Sus scrofa: one gene and its partners. The protein of the gene in region 1 interacts with the protein of each later gene in a pairwise test. Links are inferred from orthologs where the notes say so. Each region holds a gene or a part of one and is shown in the gene's direction. Other genes may lie near its edges.

What was found.
Region 2: the proteins of SF3A3 (region 1) and ZNF212 interact in binary tests that used the Homo sapiens proteins (3 or more experiments, as listed by UniProt). The two-hybrid records come from large-scale screens. The link is inferred for Sus scrofa from reciprocal best matches to the Homo sapiens genes SF3A3 and ZNF212.
Region 3: the proteins of SF3A3 (region 1) and TRIM69 interact in binary tests that used the Homo sapiens proteins (3 or more experiments, as listed by UniProt). The two-hybrid records come from large-scale screens. The link is inferred for Sus scrofa from reciprocal best matches to the Homo sapiens genes SF3A3 and TRIM69.
Region 4: the proteins of SF3A3 (region 1) and TADA2A interact in binary tests that used the Homo sapiens proteins (3 or more experiments, as listed by UniProt). The two-hybrid records come from large-scale screens. The link is inferred for Sus scrofa from reciprocal best matches to the Homo sapiens genes SF3A3 and TADA2A.

The regions. Positions count from the first base shown.
Region 1 is NC_010448.4:93,954,593-93,959,885, reverse strand, and holds part of SF3A3 (splicing factor 3A subunit 3), read left to right. Parts: intron 1-740; coding exon 741-905; intron 906-997; coding exon 998-1,108; intron 1,109-2,244; coding exon 2,245-2,335; intron 2,336-5,293. UniProt on the Homo sapiens protein: Component of the 17S U2 SnRNP complex of the spliceosome, a large ribonucleoprotein complex that removes introns from transcribed pre-mRNAs.
Region 2 is NC_010460.4:55,526,311-55,532,183, forward strand, and holds the start of ZNF212 (zinc finger protein 212), read left to right. Parts: upstream 1-1,851; 5' UTR 1,852-1,968; coding exon 1,969-1,992; intron 1,993-5,873.
Region 3 is NC_010443.5:126,784,972-126,790,900, reverse strand, and holds the start of TRIM69 (E3 ubiquitin-protein ligase TRIM69), read left to right. Parts: upstream 1-2,272; 5' UTR 2,273-2,274; coding exon 2,275-2,640; intron 2,641-3,714; coding exon 3,715-3,737; intron 3,738-3,819; coding exon 3,820-3,944; intron 3,945-5,929.
Region 4 is NC_010454.4:38,873,274-38,879,091, forward strand, and holds the start of TADA2A (transcriptional adapter 2-alpha), read left to right. Parts: upstream 1-1,882; 5' UTR 1,883-1,982; intron 1,983-1,983; exon of another isoform or gene 1,984-2,123; intron 2,124-2,307; exon of another isoform or gene 2,308-2,507; intron 2,508-4,789; 5' UTR 4,790-4,891; coding exon 4,892-4,916; intron 4,917-5,818. Other genes in the region: ACACA (acetyl-CoA carboxylase 1), read right to left, coding at 1,279-1,298. UniProt on the Homo sapiens protein: Component of the ATAC complex, a complex with histone acetyltransferase activity on histones H3 and H4. Required for the function of some acidic activation domains, which activate transcription from a distant site. Binds double-stranded DNA.

The DNA.
Region 1 (5,293 bases):
TAACCTACTACCACAGCTCATGGCAATGCTGGATCCCTAACCCACTGAGCAAGGCCAAGGAGTGAACCCGTCAATCATGGATTCTAGTCAGGTTCTTAACCCACTGAGCCACAATGGGAACTCCTAGACCCTTTCCTTCAAGCAAAGCAAAAAACTAAATGAAAGTTCTTTAAGCAAAGTGTACCATTAGATTTTTTTTTTTTTTTTTTAAGTAGATGAATATGGGAACAAATGGAAGCTGGACAGGAATGAGGAGAGATTCGGGCAAGTTAGAAGTTATCTTGGTGACAGTGATAGCAGTGAGAAGGAGAAGGAAGAACAGATTCAGGAAATACTTTAGAGATAGAAAAGACTATGTTCTCTATTGTTCTGTGATTGTCTGTAGCCTCAAATAAGTAACTTAGGCAAATGCCATAAAACCTTTGACTTTTTCCTTTATGGTCAGGGAATGAGTTCTGACATGAAGGCAAGAAGTTCCCTTTGTTCTGCAAAAAAGAAAACCTGATCTGATCCTTGGAAGTGAGAGATCAACAAGAGTTGCAGGAAAATAAATTTCCTCCCTCTTTTTCCTTTTGGCTGCACCTGTGGCATGCGAACGCTCCCAGGCCTGGGATCGAACCCACACCATAGCAGTGACAACGCCAAATCCCCAACCCTTAGGCCACTAGGGAACTTGTAAATTTTCCTTCTTGTTCTGCACTATTCTCTGACTTCCCTTTTCATTTATGGATCTGACTTAGGAACAGCGACATCTCACTCATGAAAATGTACAGCGCAAGCAGGCAAGAACCGGAGAAGAACGAGAAGAGGAGGAGGAGGAGCAGATCAGCGAGAGTGAAAGTGAAGATGAAGAGAATGAGATTATTTACAACCCCAAGAACCTGCCCCTTGGCTGGGATGGCAAAGTCAGTCCAGACACTCCCGTATTCCTTGTTTCCTGTTTTGAAAGCAGATGCAGACACCAGCCTAACACTCCTTCTTCTCTGATTTCTCTTAGCCCATTCCTTACTGGTTGTATAAGCTTCATGGCCTGAATATCAACTATAACTGTGAGATTTGTGGAAACTACACCTACCGGGGTCCCAAAGCCTTCCAGCGGCACTTTGCTGTAAGGAATTCAGAGCCTTTTCTCCTGGATGTTAAAGTATGAAACATACTTTAGAGAAGTCTTTTAGAGAAGAGGGTAGGAGCAGCCTGAGAGGATCACTGGTGTCCAGAGTGCAAGAGAATCAGCGAAGGAGTGGCTCTAATGTCCAGCATGTGGCATTTGGCCTCGGGACCAGGGCTAGCCTTGGGTTGTACCTGAGATGGTTCTGGAGGTGTTCTACCACTTGGCTATCTGAACCTCATTTCCTTTTGCACTTGCTCGCTCTTCAGTTCTCTCTTTTTGTGTCTCTGAATCCTTGGTCATTTCTCTGTCCCGCTGTTAGTATTCAGGACCAAAGAAGGGACTGACCATCTCCTTTGGGTCCTGAAAGGGCCTTTGCCTCTTTAAAAAAAGAAACGAAGAGATTGACATTTATCAAGCTCTTCTTGAGACAAGGCATTATCTAGGTGGTACCCCAGTAAGTGGATTCACCCTTGTTTAGTTTCCGCCTTCAATTCTTATACTTGGAAGGAAGTTTTACAGAATGAAAGGCTTGCTTAATGTAGCCTAGGATAGCGAATTTCTATGACCTCTCTCTCCCTCAGACGTACATATTACTAATTTGTCCTGGGTCTTTCCTGCCAAGCTCCTGAATAATCTCTGAATCTTTCTGAACACTACCTCCATTGAATTGGAATTGGTCTCCTGGGCCCATGCCATTTGTAGTCCCTGAGCCAAAACTGTCCCTGTATCAGTGTCTCCCTGGTCTCTTTCATATACTTGGTTATACCTGATAAACAATCTTCTCCTTAATTTCCAGAGATAACACTGACCTGCCATCAGTGTTGGCTACTCAGGCATGTTGGTAGCTGGGGTTGCATGGGATGTTATTGATAAGTTAAAGTCTCCAAGAGAGGTTTTGTCTGGATCTAGGGCCTAGGTTTTATAAACCAGCTCAGTGAAGCAAACTATGCAACGCTTTGACGTAACTGCCTCTGATCAGTCATAGCAGCAGTCTAGAGTCAGGAACCACAAAGGAACGTTGCCTTTAGGTGGAGCCTTTTAGAAAGGGTCAAGGTGGCGTTTATGAGCACAATGGAATTAGTACTCTGTGTTCAGTCAGTCCCGTTTTACATTGTTCTCTTCTTTTCACGCAGGAGTGGCGTCATGCTCATGGCATGAGGTGTTTGGGCATCCCAAACACTGCCCACTTTGCTAACGTGACACAGATTGAAGATGCTGTCTCCTGTAAGTAAGCTTTATTGTTCCCTGAGCCAGCCCTCTAGTTTACTGTCCCAATACCCTGGCCTAAGGGCAGCAGGGTGTGAATGTGTACAAACTACTCCAATTGTACAAGCTGCATTTTGAGGGGATGAATTAGCCAGCAGTACTGATTGTTTCCCCCTTGGGAAGTGTTCTGTGCTGAGGATAAAATGGTTTTTAAGTGGGTTCTGTGAACTCCCCTGTATGCAAGATTTTGAGTAAATGAGTATGTATATTTTTCTGAATTGACTTTACTGTGTTAAGAACTACAGACATGGAGTTCCCACTGTGGCACAGCTGTTGCAGCTGTGGTGTAGGTCACAGATGCAGCTGGGATTCAATCCCTGGCTCATGTTATACCATAGGTATGGCTGAAAAGCCAGCAGAAACAAAAAACTACAGATATGAAGGAAAAAATTAAAATGGTCTCAGCAAGCTTATTTCTTTTTTCTTTTTTTCTTTTTTTTTTTTTTTTGTCTTTTTTGTTGTTGTTGCTATTTCTTGGGCCGCTCCCGCGGCATATGGAGGTTCCCAGGCTAGGGGTTGAATCAGAGCTGTAGCCACCGGCCTACGCCAGAGCCACAGCAACGCGGGATCCGAGCCGCGTCTGCAACCTACACCACAGCTCACGGCAACGCCGGATCGTTAACCCACTGAGCAAGGGCAGGGACCGAACCTGCAACCTCATGGTTCCTAGTCGGATTCGTTAACCACTGCGCCATGGACGGGAACTCCAGCAAGCTTATTTCTGAGCTGACAGGACAGGTACACAGCAACATGGCAGCAAAATACCTCTTAGAGAAAAAGCCAAGTGCCGCACGTGTCCGGGAATTTTCAAGTGCGAGTCAGGCTTCCTGTTTACCTGGCCATGGTAGCTTTTTCTGCCATTAGCCTCTTCTTCTCAGGCTTCTTGTTTCCTTTCTGGTTCTTCTCTTCTCTGTCATATTTTCACTTTCAATGAGTTAGACTGTGAAGAAAAGGATTTTACCACTCCACTTTATTAAATTTCAGGCTCTCCCTCCCAGATGTATTTATCACACTACTTGGCTACTTGGTCAACTAACTTCTTTGGCTCCCAACTCTAAGGTTGTTGAAATCATCCAGGGCAGAGCTAAATAGAAATGACCTTCTAAAGAGCTCCCTGATCCCTGACTTAATCTTTGGATCCTGGGGACTTTTTCATTGCTTTTGTGTGTGGGTGCAGTCAGCTTTAGGAACTCCTTGCTGTTTTGTCTTTTCTTATTCATTTGCAAGTCAGGATCCTACAGTTCTGCCAGTCAGGATTATAATGCATCTTGTCATCAGATTATCCAATTAGCTTCTTCAGTTTTTGCCCTTCATTTTGTTGGGATAAAATTTAAATATTAGGAGTTTCCTTCGTGGCTCAGCAGCAATGAACCCAGCTATCATCCATGAGGATGTGGTTGCAATCCCTGGCCTCGCTCAGTGGGTTAAGGATCTGGTGTTGGCTGTGAGCTGCGGTGTAGGTTGCAGATGCGGCTCGGATCTGGCGTAGCTGTGGCTGTGTTGTAGTTGGCAGCTGCAGCTCTGATTCGACCTCTAGCCTGGGAACTCTCACAGTATGTGCAGGTATGGCCCTAAAAATACAAAAAAAAAAAAAAAAAAATTTAAGATGGTAATGAGAGTTCTCTGGTTGTTCAACACCCCCTGCCCAACAATAGTAATGAAATTTCATAGAATGACAATGCTGCATTTTGAATGTAATCTCATTTTTAAATATATTTTCTAGCTGCATATTACTAATTAGTTCATTTTTGTGTGTATTTTCTTATGTCCTGCAAATTGTCTGTTACTTTTACTTCTTTTTTATTTTGGTCTTTTTAGGGCTGAACCCATGGCATGTGATGGTGCCCAGGCTAGGAGTCAAATCACAGCTGTAGCCACTGGCCTATGCCACAGCAACACAGATCCCAGCCATGTCTGCGACCCACACCAGAGCTCACAGCAATGCTGGATCGTTAACCCACTGAGTGAGGCCAGGGATAGAACTTGCATCCTCATGGATGCTAGTTAGACTTGTTTCCTCTGAGCCACAATGGGAACTCCACTTTATTACTTCTGATACCTTGAAATTGATATAGTTACACTATTTTAGGCTTACGATTATGCCAACTACCAAGATAATGTTTCAGTTTATTTTGTTCCATGGACTTATTTTTCTTCAGGGATAGTTCGCCCAAGCATTATCCCCAAGTCTTATGTTAAATAGAAGCAGGTAATAATCCTGGACTCAGGTCCAGGGAGTTCCCGTCGTGGCGAAGTGGTTAACGAATCTGACTAGGAACCATAAGGTTGTGGATTTGATCCCTGGCCTTGCTCAGTGGGTTAACGATCCAGCATTGCCATGAGCTGTGGTGTAGGTTGCAGACGCAGCTTGGATCTAGCATTGCTGTGGCATAGGGAGGTTCCCAGGCTAGGGGTTGAATCTAGAGCTATAGCTGCCGGCCTACACCAGAGCCACAGCAGCTCAGGATCCGAGCCTCGTCTGCAAGCTACATCACAGATCACAGCAACAGCGGATCCTTAACCCACTGAGCAGGGTCAGGGATTGAACGCGCAACCTCGTGTTTCCTAGTCGGACTCGTTAACCACTGAGCCACGATGGGAACTTATATTTAAATAGAGATTATTTCTTCATGTAAGGCTAAGACTACTCTGAGAAGATGCTTTGGTTAATAGCCCCTACAATTCCTTGATTTTTTTTTTTTTTAATGAAACAGTAGGAAACCAGGTACTTACTTATTTCTGTTCTGTTTTACTATGTCCTTTTTTCTTTTCTTTTTCTTCTTTTTTTTTTTTTTTTTTTTGAGTAACTTTATTTATTTTTGGCCATACCCACATCATGAAGAACTTCCCAGGCAAAGTATCTAACCCATGCTACAGCAGTGACCTGAGCTACAGCTGTGACAGCACCAGATCCTT
Region 2 (5,873 bases), on another chromosome or scaffold:
TGTAGACTAATAAAAAGAAGAGGTTATTTCAGACAGTGATAAATGCTACGAAAAACTTTGAGCAAGGTGAGCAGACTGACTGTTGGGATGGAGGGGGGTTGGGCTATATGCAGACAGGGTGGACGGGGATGACTCTGGGAGCAGGAGGTAAATCTGAACTGAGCCCTCCTGCTAAGAAGGAGCCAGTCATTTGATCATCATTTTTCTGTTGTTCTTAAGAGTTTTATTCATACCTATCATTCAGAGTGGATGATACTGAGACGGTGTGGCACGAATTCGGTAATTATGGTTGCATTAGTGTTGGATACGCCAATGGTAAAGCAACCAGGCTTTTTTTTTTTTTTTTTTTTTGTCTTTTAGGGCTGCACCTGGGGCAGGCATATGGAAGTGCCCAGACTGGGGGTGAAGTTGGAGCTGCAGCCACCAGCCTGCAACGCAGCCACAGCAACACAGGACCTTAGCAGTGTCTGCAGCCAACACCACAGCTCATGACAACGCTGGAGCCTTAACCCACCAAGCAAGGCCAGGGATCTAACCTGCGCCCTCATGGTTATTAGTCAGGTTCCTTACTGCTGAGCCATGATGGGAACTCTGCAACCATGGGTTTTTTTGTTTGTTTGCTATTTTATTTTTGTAATGATTTTTATTTTTTCCATTATAGCTGGTTTACCGTGTTCTGTCAATTTTCTACTGTACAGCAAGGTGACCCAGTTACACATACATGTATACATTCTTTTTTCTCACATTATCAAACACACGAACCATGCTTTTTCAATCCAAAACTCTGAATGCATGGTTTAACATGCAGCGTGCGGGCTGGATATGAAATCAGGACTTAGACTTTATCTAAAATTGCATTTTCCAAGGCATGTGATTATTATAACTGATAGGCTTCAGTGGATTGGCCTGGGCACCTAACCCACGTTGATGTGAGAAGCGTATTTCTAATTTCTTTCTTTCTTTTTGTCTTTTTGCCGTTTCTGGGGCTGCCCCCGAGGCATATGGAGGTTCCCAGGCTAGGGGTCGAATCAGAGCTGTAGCCACCGGCCTACGCCAGAGCCACAGCAAAGCGGGATCCGAGCCGCGTCTGCAACCTACACCACAGCTCACGGCAACGCCAGATCCTTAACCCACTGAGCAAGGCCAGGGATCGAACCCGCAACCTCATGGCTCCTAGTCGGATTCATTAACCCCTGAGCCACCACGGGAACTCCCTATTTCTAATTTCCAAAAAGCGAAGTAACATGTGTACTTTCGGGGAGTTACCGTCGTGGCGCAGGGGTTAACAAATCCGACTAGGAACCATGAGGTTGCAGGTTCGATCCCTGGCCTTGTTCAGTGGGTTAAGGATCCGGTGTTGTCGTGAGCTGGGGTGTAGGCCGCAGACGCGGCTCGGATCCCGCTTTGCTGTGGCTCTGGCGTAGGCTGGCGGCTACAGCTCCGATTAGACCCCTCGTCTGGGAACCTCCCTATGCCGAGGGAGCGGCCCAAGAACTAGCAAAAAGACAAAAAGAAAAAAGTGTACTTTCGGAATAACACCGCTTGCCGTCTGGGACTGTATCTCTTTTCCCCAACTAGAGTACACGTTCTTCCCTCTGGGCACAGTCTGAGTTTATACAGTTTTGAATCCCTCAAAGCCCTACCAGAGTGCTGGGCACGCAGAAGCGCTGGGCACGCGGTAAATTCCGAGCCTGCCCTCGGCTTGGAAGGACCAAGTCCCGTCCCGCTCCGGCCGAGCTCCCAGCGGCTGTTCACCCTCCTGCCGCACGGGGGCGCAAGGGGACTCCCGCACGGTGAGGATCCGCGGCCGGCGCCCGTCTTGGCCCCGGAGGGCCGCATTCCCACAATGCACCTTGTATCAACACAGCGCTGGGGGCGGCTTCGAGGAGGGGCCAGGGGCGCCCAGCGGACCCTCGCGCAGCCCGGGGCGTATCAGGCGGGGCGGGTGTGGAAGGGCGACTGGCAGCCATGGCGGAGTCGGCGCCCGCTCGGGTAAGCGTCCTCCCGGCGCCCGCCCGGGGGCGCGTTCGGGATGGTGGCGCCCCGACCGGGGCGGGGCTTCGAGGTGCGGACCGGGGAGGGGCTGGGCGTCCACGGGCTGCTGCCGGCGAGGCCAACGCCGACCTGCCCCCCACCCCCCGCGGCCCCAGCGCTGGGCTCTACCCCCGTCGGCTCCTTCCACGTCGGGCTAGAGCCTCCGCGCCACGCGCCTTCGCCGAGAAACTTCTCGGAGGCTTGTTTCATGTTCTTGCATTTGCGACCGTCCCGACACGTTTTCGTCGCGCCCTGGCGAGGTGGCGCGGGTTGGAAACCCTGGGTCCCCAGCAGCGCTGGCGAGCTGGCCCGTGCCCGGGCACCCCAGGGCTCAGGCTCTCAGACCAGCTTGTTCTCTGCCTGATGGGTTTCCTCATGCCTTCTGCCGTGCCTCCGGCTACAGATTTCTGTCCTGGGTTGAAGTCAGGCTGGCCTGCCTCTCCTTGGGGACAGGGTTACCTCACGGTGTAGTTGCTGGGTTTTGTTTTGAAGCTGTCGATCTTTCCCCCTCTTCCCCTCCCCCAGACATCACCCTTCCGGGAATGGCAAGACTGCGGGGCGGGCTTGGGCCTGGAGTCGGGAAACTGGATTTCAGCGTCAGTCAGTTCTCCGCTATCTAGTTGAGTAACTTTAGGCAACAGTGTTGGCGCCGGACCTCCACGTTGGGCTAGTTACTAGATGATCTCTAAGGTTCCAACTGCCTCCGACTCTCATTACTCCCGAGTGTTGGTTTCTTTGATGATACTAGAGGATTTGCTATGGAAAGGGCAGATGGAGTTTAATTGTTTTTTGGTTTTTTTGGCTTTTTTTTGGGGGGGGGGGCTTTTTTAGGGCCGCACCCACAGCACATGGAAGTTCCCAAGCGAGCTAGGGGTGTAGGGGTGTGGCCTACACCACAGCTCATGGCAATGCTGGATCCCCAACCCACTGAGGGAGGCCAGGGATGGAACCCGCGTTGTCACAGATGCTAGTCTGGTTTGTTTTTGCTGAGCCACCGGCGGGAACTCCGGCATTTCTTCATCCAGAAATACCTTCGGAATCCTGTGAGATCTTTGTGAGCATTGAGGGCTAAGCGATGCTGGAGTGCCTGCACTTGATTTCTTATAGGAAGTGGGTAAGACCTAAGAGTGGAAGGATTGTAAGACTTAAAGAACAGGTGTTTGCTTTTAAAGAAGTTACAGTTGAATTTTGAAGACAAGACAGATGTCAACAATACCACAGTATTTACCTCATCTGACTCCCTTAACCTAAGGTGATCCAGTCAGGGACTTGCCTTTTCCTCAAGACCAAATGAGTCGTCCTAAAGTTGGGCAGGAGGACACGTTACTAACTTCCAGAGGACTTCTTCCTGACCGGTCAGTGCAGTTACCTACGTGTCTTCAACAGACCTTGTTAAAAGGACATCTTAAAGAGCCTCCAAATCCCCAACTCCACTTTAAGTAATTTATTGATCTGTCATTGCGGAACGTATTTAAATTGCCTGTGAACATATTTCCATCCTTATCTTCAGATGAGGATGCTGTACCTCTTATTTGAAGTATGGCCAAGTAGGTGCCTGGATGAAAACACCTAAAAATACTGAGGTGAAAAAACACCAATGTATTTGAAATGCATCTGGTAAAGAATACTTGGAGCCCAAAGACTAAGTGAAAGAGGGAACTCCTGAGAGGTAAACAGAGTTCTGAAGCCAACTTTGAGGGGATTTGCTGAACATTCATCTGTAGTGTTTATGAACTCAAGAGGTCTGGAAAATAGAAGACAAAACTCGGAGCCTAAGGTGGGAGTCTAAAATGCCTCCTACACCAATCCTATAAAGCCGAGACTCCAAAGGGCAACATTCAGGGTGAACTGGAAGTAAGCTCCTACCCCGGCAATTGCAGAGAAAATCCCCTCAAACCTTGGTGTTGAGAGCTGGGTGCACGGTAGCCCTTGAGAATTCATGATGACTCTCAAGTGGGTTTAGTGCCTGAAGTCATACAACCTGGGTGTCTGGGAAAAAACCTTAAGCCAAGAGTTTAGTTTGTCTCCAGCTATCTTTCAGATATAAATACACATCTTCTCTGCAGGAATCTACAGTTAACTCAGACTTCAAATAACTCCATAGATAAAATTCCAAGACAAACAAGTTCACAATAAAAAATTACCAAGCAATGAGAAACTACAAGAGAAAGCTGGTAAAATTAATGGGAAATAAAAGTAGACCTCCAGAGATTTCAGATACTACTATTCTAGAAGAAAAACATGTTGGAATTCAAGTAGGAACACACACACACACACAGTCTGCACTGGAGACCGTATTTGATGAATACCTAATGTTTGAAGATACTGTAGGACTGATGCAGATGCTAATTCTTAGAAGCCCAGAAGATCCTAATCAGGCTAAACATTAAGAAATCTCTACCTAGAAACATGGTGAAAGTACAGAATACAAGACAACTCTTAAAAACAGCCAAAGGAAAAAGATGACCTTCAGACGAACCTTGTAAGACTAATGGGGTGCAGCTTCCCAACAACAATGGAAACCAGACAGCGGTAGAATGGTATCTTCAAAGGGCTAAAAGAAAATAACCATGTAATCCCAGATTTGTATACTCAGCAAAAGCATCTTTCAGAAACCAACAGTAAAATAAAGATTTTTCAGACAAAACTGACAATTTGTTACCAATGTACTCTCATAAAAGGAAATTCAAGTGGAAAATGCAAATACAAGAAAGTATGATGATTCATTATTAAAATGGGTAAATCTAAACAAATGTTAATTGAACAAAATAATCTCTTACATGGTTAAAGACAAGGGCAGAATTAAAATACATGGCAGCATTGATGTAAAAGTTAGGAAGAGATGGTCAGAATTCAGATAAAGATCTTTGTAAGTATGTCTAGGTAATTACATACTTATGTCTATAATTACATACATATGTCTAGGATGGTTGCTAAAAGACTAGAAACTGACTGTATAACTTACAATTTAAAAAGGGGGAATAATAAAAAATCTAAAAAGGTAAGAAATATGGGATAAGCAGCACAAAGGTAAAAATAAGTAAAAATGATGACAATAAGTGTAAATGGACTAAATGTTCTAGCTAAAAGGCAAAGATGGATAGGATGAGTTAAAGCTCAACAAATGGTTTATAAAAGATACAGCTAAAAGAGGTGGAGTTCCTTCGTGGCTCAGTGGTTAACGAACCCAGCTAGTGACCATGAGGTTGCATGTTTGATCCCTGGCCTGGCTCAGTGGATCCGGAGTTGCTGTGGACTGTGGTGTGGGTCGCAGACACAGCTCAGATCCCATGTGGCTGTGGAGTAGGCCCACAGCTGCAGTTCTGACTCAGTCCCTAGCCTGGGAACCTCATATGCCGTGGGTGCGGCCCTAAAAAGACAAAGGACAAAAAAAAAAAAAAAAATATATATATATATATATATATATATACGTATATATATATACAACTGAAAGACAAAACTATAGAATTAGTTGAATATAAGAGGGTATAAAAATATGTACCAGACTAATATGAAGCAAAAGAAAATTGGCTCAGCTGCATCAATATTGCTAGAGATACAGGGCCCCTACTACTTTTATAATGGCAGAAGACTTCATTTACCAGCCTGATAGGACATTTCTGACTTATATGCACCTGATTATATAGCTCAAAATATATAAAAGAAAAATTGATGGAACTACCAGGAAAATTCACCATCATAGTAGAGATTTTAATGCAACCTTAGTATTTTATGAGCAGAAGAAAATTGCTAAGGGTGTAGTACACCCAGTAGAGACTTCTTAGATGATGGGAATTTACCTCTGTCCTGTTCAGTATGGTAGCCACAAGTTACATGTG
Region 3 (5,929 bases), on another chromosome or scaffold:
AGAAATACTTTTCTTTGGGCTTAAAACGAGGCTACCTCTGAACCAAGTTCTCTTGGATTGCTGGCTTTTCTCATCTTATTTTATCTTTCCTACCTTCCCCAAAACTAAATAAAGCTATTGCTTATACTTTCAACTTCACAGGAGCTCTAGGATGACAATAATGGTTAGAGACTTGGGAAATCAGGTCCTAGGTAGAGGGAATAAATTGGGAGTTCTGTTTCTTCATTAATTATTCTATGAAAGAGAATCTCCTCTGGCATTTGGCATCTGGAAAAAACATGTACAGTGAGAGAAAAGAAGGATAGATGGAAATAATGATGTCTCAAGAAAATCTTGTTCCTATTTGTAAGAGTTCCTAGTTCAGCCATTACAGTCAACATTTATTCATTCAACAAATATTTATTGAGTGGGTCACGCATACAAGACACTATATTCCTACTATGGTGGGAGATAGATGTTAATTAATCCTACAATAACAATAAAATAACAACTGTGATAACTACTACAAATGAAAATATAGTATGAGAGCATATAAATGGAGAACCTAACCTATACTGAGTGTTCTCTGAAGAAGCTACTTATTAAAAATTGAGAATTAAAAGGATAAATATTTTCCTTAGTCTAGTGAACAGGGTGAGGGGAATATGAAGGTTTTGGCCAGAAAGTTCTATGAAGAGGAAAGAGCATATGGAAAAGTCCTGAGACAGGAAGTTAGCTGCTATGTTAAACAGAGAGAAGGCCAAGTAAGCTGGGTCATGGTAAGCAAGATGAGACTGAAGATCAGGCAGATATGGGACTAATCATGTAGATAATATATCATGTGTAGATCATGTTAGGAATTTTGAACTTCATCTTGAGAATAATTAGAAGCCATTAAAGGGTTTAAACAGGACATGGTTCCACTCCATTTTGAAAGCATGTCTGGTGGCCGTGTGGAATATGCGCTAGAGAAAGCCAATAACAAAGATAATGGTTAGAAGAGTGCTACTGCAGAGAACAATGATGGCTTGGACTAGAAAAACAAGAGATATAGCAAGAAATAAATAGCTTCAGTGTATGCTTCCAAGATAAAAATTACCCGCACGTGGTGATTAATTAGATATAAGAGGTAAGTGGTGATATCAAACAGTCAGTTGGATATAGGAATCTGGGGGTCAGAAGCTGGTCTAGACTGAAAATAAGAAGTCCATGTATAGATTGTATTTAAAGTTGTGAGAGGAGAGGCTATTACATAGAGAATGTAGAATGAGAAGGGGAAACAGCCCAGGACAGAATATCAAGTAATCTAATATTTAGGGCTTGGTTAGAGACAGAACCAACAAAACTGAAAAACAGTAGTTAAATAGGTAAAAAGAAAACTGGAAAAGTCTGACCTAGAGGACAGTGAGAGTTTAAGAGTGCAATTAGGAGTTCCCATTGTGGTGTAGCAGAAACAAATCTGACTAGGAACCATGAGGTTGCAGGTTTGATCCCTGGCCTCACTCATGTCTTAAGGATCTGGTGTTGCCATGAGCTGTGGTGTAGGCTGGCAGCTACATCTCTGATTTGGCCCCTAGCCTGGGAACCTCCATACACCGCGGGTGCATCTCTAAAAAGCAAAAAAACAAAACAAAACAAAACAGAGTGCAATTATAATGACTGACCATAGAATAAGCTGGGGAAGAGGGTCACTGGATGGAAGTATTCATTGACACCCAATAATTGTTGCAGTAGGAGTTCCTGAGTAAATAAGCATAAAAAATAAATTTTGGAGGTTTATAATTGCTGGGGATGATAAAATCCTCAGTGTGATTAAGAGAATGAGTAGACGAAGGTAAAAATCACTAGAAATAGGGATGAGGAACTGAGAAGCCAGGATGTCAGATGGCTTGCCCATGAGGATATTGAGGTCACCTAAGAAAAGAGCTTCCTATGTAGCAGTTACCAATTTCAGTGCTTCAGACATTGCCCACCTCTTGCTTCTATACTGTCCTCACAGCAGGAATGGCATCTCTCCCAGTTCTGATTTCTAGAAAAGGACAGTTCTTCCAGCCTCCTTATGGGCCCGTCTAACAGCATCACTTGGTAGATATTGGTTTGTACTTCTGTATAGGAGGGCATTATCATTCTAAAATGCTCGATTAACCCCACAGTCTTATTTAACACAGCATTGGTTACCACCTCTGTACTGCAATAGGAACCTAGAGATGACTTTTTACTATTTTGTGCTGAACTATTAAACTTGCTGGGAAAGACAGAGTAAGTCTCCCAAAGGGCTCCTTTTAGTATAGTGGAATGTTGACAGCCATTTGTATGCTATTTCCTGTTACGGTATTTCCCAAGTTGTGTGAGTATTGGGGGTGTGGGCCCCCATCCCTAAGTGCTAGTATCAGTAATTACCATGGTGATGATCATGGAGGTTTCCAGGAAAACAAGCTACATCTGCAGCAACACATCTCCCTGGAGTTTCTAAAGCTGCATCAGTTCCTGCACAGCAAAGAAAAGGACATTTTAAATGAGCTCCGAGAAGAGGGGAAAGCCTTGAATGAGGAGATGGAACTGAATCTAAGCCACATTCAGGAACAGTGTCTCCTAGCCAAGGAGATGTTGGTGAGCATCCAGGCACGCATGGAACAGCAGAACTCCTTCGACTTTCTCAAAGTGAGATTCCATACCAACATGACTATGGGTACAGTGTTGGGGGGAGGGTTAAAAAGGAAGTAGAAGTGATTTTCCCCTCCAGGCGGGTTTAAAAAAATGATGTGCTTTTAAGATTCCCTGGGAGAAAAGCAAGGAGGCTATTTTTGTCTCATTCTCAGTTGAAAGCTTACTTTCACACTTCTACAAAAGATAATGAAATGCTACTAAAACCAATATGTTTTAATATTTCTCTATAAAGAATGTGAAGCTTTATTTCTCAAAAGTAAGAATGTTGCCACTTAAGCTGTACCTTTTATTGGCTGTCAGCAATCATAAATTGACTTGTCTGAAAAGTTGTTTGCCAGCCTTTGCTCCCTGACGCTTCACCTCTAAAGTGGCATTGGTTACCACCTCAAGCACTCAGAGGCTTAATTAGTCAGAGTAAAGAAATGTGGCCTTCGGGCTAGAATACCTGTTGCATTTTTCTCCTGAGACTATGTGACAGTATAGGTAAAAAATAGTTTAATATTAATTTCTCTTAGAAATTTAGAAAATTTCTAAATTTTATTAATTTTCCTGTGAAATTAGAGCAAAATAAACCAGTTTATCAGGGAATAAGTGAAAGGCATGGACCAGAAAAGGCATACAGAGGGGAGTTCCCTTTGTGGCTCAGCAGTTAACAAACCTGACTAGGATCTACAAGAGGATGTGGGTTCGATCCCTGGCCTCACTCAGTGGGTTAAGGATCCAGCATTTCCGTGAGCTGTGGTGTAGGTTGCAGACACAGCTCGGATCCCGAGTTGCTGTGGCTGTGTCGTAGGCCGGCAGCTGTGGCTCTGATTTGACCCCTAGCCTGGAAACTTGCATATGCTGTGGGTGCTGCCCTAAAAAGCAAAAAAAAAAAAAAAAAAAGAAAGAAAGAAAGAAAGAAAAAGAAAAGGCATACAGAGGAAGAATGGAGTTGGTGGCAATGGGATGGGGACCATCTGCCCAGTATTGCACCATTAAATTCTAGTGGTAGCCAATATCACTAAAGAAATGTGTGGAGTTGATGAATAGGCATCTGATCTTTCTATTTCTCCTTTCCTTTTCTAGGACATCACGCCTCTCTTGGATAGGTAAGTGTTTTCTTGTGCTATTAATACTCTTCCTTCAGTCCCTGGAAGATGTCTAAGAATAAATAATTTATGTCCCCTGCAGCTTGGACCAAGGAATGAGGGTGCTGACACCCAGAGAACTTATCTCCAGAAAGCTGAACCTAGGCCTATTCAAAGGTCCCATCCAATACATGATGTGGAGGGAAATGCAGTCCACTCTTTCTCCAGGTATCAGCGGGTAGTAGCTGTTAGTTCCTGGAGCTCCCAGTTTATGTAATTTATGACTTTGTAAACAGAGTCTGATGTCAGAATTACTTCTCAGCCTATGATTTTGTTTCACTATTCTATCAAATGTGAAAAATCAATATTTTAACCTGCTTTTCAAAAACAGTTATCTAAGTTCCTGGATAAGAGGTTACTATATATATTTGTTGCATGTAATAGGGTCTTTTCAGTTCCTCTTGTGCTTGATGTCCACAACATAGAGTATATCATCTTAGGAGATTATTTAGAATTTTTTTTTTTTAATTTTTAGGGCCACACCTATGGTACATGGAGGGTCCCATGCTAGGGGTCGAATCAGAGCTGTAGCTGCTGGCCTACACCACAGCCACAGCAATGCAGGATCCGAGTCACGTCTGCAACCTATACCACAGCTCACGGCAATGCTGGATCCTTAACCCACTAAGCAAGGCCAGGGATTGAACCTGCATCCTCATGGATGCAAGTCAGATTCGTTTCTGCTGAGCCATGATAGGAACTCCTGTTTAGAAATCTTAAGTGCTTCAAAAGATAGCCAATTATTTCAACAGCTGTGCCTAATAAGAATACTAAGTTTTTGTCATTTTGTAGATACCAAAAGACAGCAGGACAAAAGAACACAAATTACATTTCAAGAACATAAAGTTTTAAATAAATATAATTACAGAAGTAAAGCTCTAAATGAAGTTTTTATGGAAGTCATATAGACTCATTATTGTAATTGTTTGTAGTTACTAATTTAATGAAAATCACAAATCTCTCCCTGCTAATTTTTCCAGGTAACTGACATTGAAACAAATCAGTTTCACTAAGGTATAATTAACACAGAATAAAATGTACAACTTGATGAGTGTGACAAATGTATATACTTAGCTAAACACCTCCAAAATCAAGATATAGAAAATTTCTGTCATCCCCCAAAGTTCCTGCATACTTCTTTGCAGTCAATCCTTTCCTTCTAACCTCAGGCCCTGACACTCATTGATCTACTTTATTTCACTTTAGCTGTCTTTTCTAACATCTCATAAGGTAATGGTAATGGTACCATACCTTATGTAGTCCTTTGTGTCTGGCTTTTTTCACTTGGCAAAATGCGTTTGAGATTCACCTGTGTTGCTGTATGTATCAATAACTGTATTTTATGGATATATACAATTTGCTTATTCATTCAACTGATGGACATTTGAGTAGTTTCTAGCTATTATGAATAAACTTCCCTGAACATTTGTTTACAGATCTTTTTTTTTTTTTCTTTTTTGGCTGCCAATCAGATCTGAGCCACAGTTGCAACCCAGGCAACGCTGGATACTTTAACCAACCCACTGTGCTGGGCTGGGATCAAACCTGCATTCTGGTGCTGCAGCAATACTGTCAATCTTGTTGCACTACAGCGGGAACTCCTGTTTACAAATTTGTGTGTGTGTGTGTCTTTTTAGGGCCACATCCATGGTATATGGAGGTTCCCAGGCTACACCACAGCTCCCGGCAATGCCAGATCCTTAACCCACTGAGCTAGGCCAGGGATCGAATCCACATCCTTACGGATGCTAGTCAGATTCGTTTCCACCGAGCCATGATGGGAACTCCATCCTGTTTACAAATCTTTGTGTTTCAATTTCTTTAGAGTAAATATCTGGTAAGGAGACTGCTAGGTTGTGTGTAGTACCATTTTAATTCTAACCTCCATGAGAGTCCCAGTTTTTTCAAATCCTTGCCAAAACTTGATATTGTTGATCTTTTTGATCTTTTTGATATTTTTTCATCAAAGAAAGTATTTTATTCAAGTTCCCAAAACAAATTTGAGGAGTTATGATGGGTTTAAATTAAAAAAGGCTAAATTAAAAAAGGCTAATTAAAGTTTGGAAATAAAGTTTTCACTTGGTAGACACTGAAATCAATGTATACATTCTAGTCAAAGATCTACCCCATGTGGGAGTTCCCACTGTGGCTCA
Region 4 (5,818 bases), on another chromosome or scaffold:
ACCAGATCCTTAACCCACCGAGCGAGGCCTGGGATCGAACCAGCATCCTCATGGATGCTAGTCAGGTTTGTTAACCGCTGAGCCATGGTGGGAACTCCTGAACAATTTATATGTTAAAGAGCAATTTTAATGTTTCCACCATCTAGTCTGCACACAACTGCCAGAGTTGATCCTTTTAAAACAAGTCTGATTATTCCTTTGTCATCAACCTTTCCATGGTACACTATCACATTCTAATAACATCCCAAGTCCAGCACAGCTTACCAGGTACATGATCTGGCTTCTGCCTATGTTTCCCAACTTGTTTCTCTAATTTGCTCCAGCCACACTGGTCTCCTTGATCCTTCTCCAACATGCCCAGCAAGACCCATCTCAGGGCTATTTTAATTGCCTTTCTCTTCTCCTGGAACAATTTCCCCCTCTAGAAATTCACACAGCTGCCTCCCCCATTTAATGATTAGATTTCTGCTTATGATTAAGAGGACTTCCTTGTCTACTGCATCCAACAGAGTGTCCCCACATCACTCTTATCCCTTTATCCTGATTTTTTTTCCATAAAAATTGCCACATTACTGGGCATTATCTATTATATACTATGTGTATTGCTTATTGTCTAAATATTGCTTATTGTCTACCTCCTCCACGATGAGGCAGAAACTTTGTTTTGTTCACCGAATTCCCAGCACCTAGAACTGGTATCTACTCATTAAAAATTTGATAAATGAAAATAGATTTCCAGGGTATATCAAATGTAAAACTACTTTATATTTTTTGAATGAAGTATAGAAAAATATCTAGAAGAATGTAAGGCAAAATGGTAACCATTTAACATGGTAGGAGCTGGTTTTCATTTTTTGTTCATGCAAATATTCTTTTTTTTTTAGAACGAACTTGTATGACTAAGAAATGAATAAAAAGGCCACACAGGCAGGTGTAAATGATTTCTCTAAGAGGTTGGGCAAATTGATGGAAGAAAGACTTCTAAATAGATGCATGAGCATAATGGCTAAGACAAACCACTGTTTGAATGCCCTTCCCCAACACCATCTAGCTGTGTGAACCCAAGTTATTTACAAGGTAGAGTCTAAAGGTCTTCACCTGGAAAATGGGGATGATAATATTACAAGTGTCTTTTCCATAAGGTTATTTTTGAAGATTAAATGAGACCATGTATGTAAACTCCTTTGTACAATGCCTGGCATGCAATAAATACTCGACAAATGGCAGCTATCATAATAATAATAATTAGCAGTAGTAACAAGAGATGTTGGGACATACCTAGCCCTCAAGACTGACATCAGAGTGGACCACCACATCCTCTCATCATCGCGCCTCAATTTGGGCACCTAAAGCCCAAAGAGAGGATGGTTTTTCCAAAGAAGATAATTTCGACGTTCCAGAAGCATCTGAATCAAACGTACCCCATGTACCCTTGAACCATTCAGGCAGTCTGGTTAATCCATGAGTAGCACTGCAAGACCCGGCCTCGAGGGGGGACCACCACTCGCCGTCCTTGGGCCCAGTCCCTCAGCCTCCATTTCCTTTGAGGCTGCAACAGGGGTGGCAGGAATGTTACAAAACGCAAAAGCGGGGCTGTACCGGCCCGCTCCAGCTCACCGCACTCTGGAGGGGTCAAACGGCAGCACGCATCCGCAAGTCTGCGGCGACGAGCAACGCGCCCCGAGGGAAAAGTGATTACTGGTCCGACTCAAAAGTCTGGCAAACTGCTCAGAGCCCCATCCTCCCAGGCCTCTGCTGGAGGCGGGCGGCGAGCTCTCGGCGAGGTCAGGGGCTGGAGCTGAGAGAGGGGAGGCGGCGAGCGCGCGCCACGCGGCGGGGCCGCGACGGCTGGGGCGGCGCCTGGGCGGAGGCGGCGAGCGCGCGGCCCGCTCGCGCCTGCGCCGCTCGGGAGCGAGCACGCAAAAGCCCGGGCGCGCGCACGGCTGGCGTTTCCTCGGCGCGGAAGAGGGGGACGCGGCGAGGTGAGGCACGAGGCGCTGCGGCACGGGTGGTGGCGTGGTGCGGCGCGAACCCCTCTCGCGGGACGAGGGGGAGAAGGCGTCCTCGAGGTTCCCCGAGGGTGGGGGAGGGCTGCGGACCCCAGCGGCGTCGGGGGCGAGAGGGTGAGTCGGCCCGACTGGCGCGAGGCGGGGGCCACGCCGTGCGGTGGGGGAGGGCGGCGCGTGCCCGGCCCGAGCCCTGGTGCCCCGCCCCGCCGCGAGCCTGGCGACTCCCGCCCCCTGGGCGGTCCTGCTGGGTTCCGGCCTCCGCTTTCCTGACTTTGCGTTGGAGGGCGTAATGCGGCTCACGACAGCGTATGGTTGATGTTACCTGTTGTTCTCAAGTAGGCCTTCCAAATAGATATTTCAGGTTCATTTTAGAGCTGTGCTTGTCTGAGCCTCCAGTAAAATGACTTGCCCAAGATCACAGTTAATAAGGAACAAAATGAGGCTTCGAATCTTGTTTGCAAAACTCCAAGCCTGCCCCTGTCCTCTGAACTGCAGTGAGTGAGTAATCTTCACGTCCCTTCCCTCCTCCCAGTAATTTCTTTGAACAAAGCAGATGTTAATTTGGAGCTAGCACCCAGCCTTTCGTGGGTATTAGCGTCAGAAATGTCTCCTGTGTGAAAAAAAGACGGGGAAAAAAAAGATTCTGCTTATTGCAGTATTGCACTTACAACGTGGAGTGTTCACGAGACTTTATATAAAGTTCCTTACTTGACTATCTCTAGTTGACCTCTGAAGTGACATTGCTATTCACTACGTCTAGGACATTGTGCCAGTAACACAATCTTTTAGCATTTCCTTTCCCTCCTTGAAAAAGCAACATGTCTCTGAAGGTTGTAAGGATTCAGAGATGATCCACATACAGTGGTACCACAGTACCTGGTATATGAGAAAAGTTCAATAAGTTTTGGCCATTATTTTATTATTAAGTGCATGATACCACTTACTAAACTCACTTTTCTTCAGACTCATTTTCCTGGGGCTAGACCAGAGGGAGAACCACCCCAACCTACCCTAAAAAAGACAAGTTCATTGACAGTGTTGTATATTCTTAATGATAAATTATTCTCCAAGCCAAAACTATCCAGTGAAAGAAGTCACTGCAGGAAAACTAAGGATGAATTAACTTTTTTGTAGAATTAGCATTTATTTGTCCATTACATTTTTGTTTATTGAGTTCTTTCTGTGTGGCATTGTGTATGGTACTTTAAGACATACAAATTTGTATTTGATGTAGTTCCTGTTTTCATTTAGGCTAGAAATGGGAAAAATATGCATCCATAAGTAATCTTCACAGAGCAGTGTGAAAAATGCCGGAGAAGGGATAGATAAAAAGCTATGGGGAGGAGTTCCCATCGGGGCTAAGTGGTAAAGAACCCGACTAGTATCTATGAGGTTGTGGGTTCAATCCCTGGTCTCATTCAGTGGGTTTAGGCATTGCCCTTGAGTAATGGTGTAGGTCACAGACATGGCTGGAATCCCACGTTGCTGTGGCATAGGCTGGCAGCTGCAGCTCTGATTCTGTCCTTCGCCTGGGACCCTCCATGTGCTTCAGGTGCAGCCCTAAATTAAAAAAAAAAAAAAAAAAAAAAAGCTATGGGAGGAGTTCCCACAGTGGTGCAATGGGTTAAGGATCTGACATTCCGAAGCTGAGTCGTAGGTCTCAGATGCAGCTTGGGTTTGATTCCTAGCCCTGGGAACTTGCATATCCTGAGAGTGTGGCTGCAAAAGGAAAAAAAAGCTATGGGAGTATAGAAGGTGATATTGGCTTAGTGTGAAATATGAGTTCATTTATGTCTTAATAAAGATACTTTGTACATGGTACTTAACTGTTAAATATTTGTTCAAAGAATAAATTAGTGAACAAAATTTGTCATAATAGATAGGGTTTTTTTAGTTTGTTGTTGTTGTTGCTATTTCTTGGGCCGCTCCCGAAGCATATGGAGGTTCCCAGGCTAGGGGTTGAATCGGAGCTGTAGCCACCGGCCTACACCAGAGCCACAGCAACTCAGGATCCGAGCCGCATCTGCAACCTACACCACAACTCACTGGGCAAGGGCAGGGACCGAACCCGCAGCCTCATGGTTCCTAGTCGGATTCGTTAACCACTGCGCCACGACGGGAACTCCATGGTTTTTTAGTTTTCTAGTGATAAAAGTTCATTCGTATTAAAGTATTTTTGAAAAGATAGAGAAATGGAAAAAAAAAAAAATTTGTGCCATTTTTGGGAATGAGTATCTCAACAACCAGAGCTCATGAACCAGATTCTTTGGCTAGTGAATGACTGAGCTCTAACTGCCCTCTGTCCTTGTATATCTTACAAGATTCAGGTTCTGTAAGAAGAGTTTTAGTTGCTTTAGCTGCTATGGGGGTGGGGGACGGAGTGTTATGATTTGCAACAACCTACTCCCCCAAAGCCGTGTGAAATGTGGGAGAGTCACTTTCCTTCCCTAAGGAAGGAGGGCTGAGGAGAGAAGTGATGCTGCACAGAGAGAACCAGTTGTTGCCTATTAGAAATATATAGCCTTTGTAGAGGGCTTATCATGGGCCAGGTGCCATGGTATATTATTTATGTGGATATTGATTATTTTAATCCTCACAACTCTAGGAAGTAGATATGATTGTATCATATTCATTTCCAGAGGAGGAAACAAGCTTATAGAGATAAAATAATTTGCTTAGCATACAAAGCTAGGATGTGGTAGAGTTGAGTAAGTTATATTGTCTTCTCTTGTCCTTTTAAGTGATTTCCTCTTCCATGTGCTGCTTTTGTTTGTTCGTAGGAGGGTCGTCAAGCTTTGGTGGATGTGTTGGCCATTTCTAAAATCTCCTTGAGGGAGCCCTACATTGAGGAAGATCAAAGCAGCCAGCTTGCCAACTGCGGGATGGACCGTTTGGGTTCCTTTAGCAGTAAGTACTGTGGGAACAAGTCCCAGGTGAATATTAATAGCAAACTGAAGTGGAAGTTGATCAGAGAAGAAAAATAAGTACTTTGCAGTTAAACAAAGCCACTTGAATCTAATCCTAAAGGCCCAAGAGTATCAACTCAAGATAAAATAACCAGTACTACACATGACACAGCATATCACCCTAGGTCTTATATGAAAACTAAGTTCAGGTGTTCCAGGCATAGTATGATTAACTTGTAATTAGAATTCTACCAAAGTAGTTTGATTTCTTTTTAGAACTAATAACACACTTCAGGTGCTTTGGTAGGAAATACTATCAGTGATAAAGGAAATGCTCCCAGCCCTGCTTTTTTGGTACTTGTATTCTAAGAGTAAACCGTATAGTATAGTAGTGATGCAGAAATGTGTGACATACATGTAAAATAAATCCAGGCACCCACAACTATGGAGGAAAAAAATAAGCTTTTTCTTTTACTCTGAAGATAAGGGATTTGGCAGAAGTAGAAATCCATTATTAGATGTTAATAGTGTCCTAATGAGAAGACTCAGAAAAACGCGTTTGGGGGCGTATCCTCTTCAACATAATTTGCTTAGCAAAAATTTTTTTTTTCTTCTTTTTTTTTGTCTTTTTGCTATTTCTTGGGCCACTCCCGCGGCATGTGGAGGTTCCCAGGCTAGGGGTCGAATCGGAGCCGTAGTCACTGGCCTACGCCAGAGCCACAGCAACTCGGGATCCGAGCCGCGTCTGCAACCTACACCACAGCTCACGGCAACGCCGGATCGTTAACCCACTGAGCAAGGGCAGGGACCGAACCCGCAACCTCATGGTTCCTAGTCGGATTCGTTAACCACTGCACCACTACGGGAACTCCCCATCAACAGTTTCTTAAATGAGCTCTAACT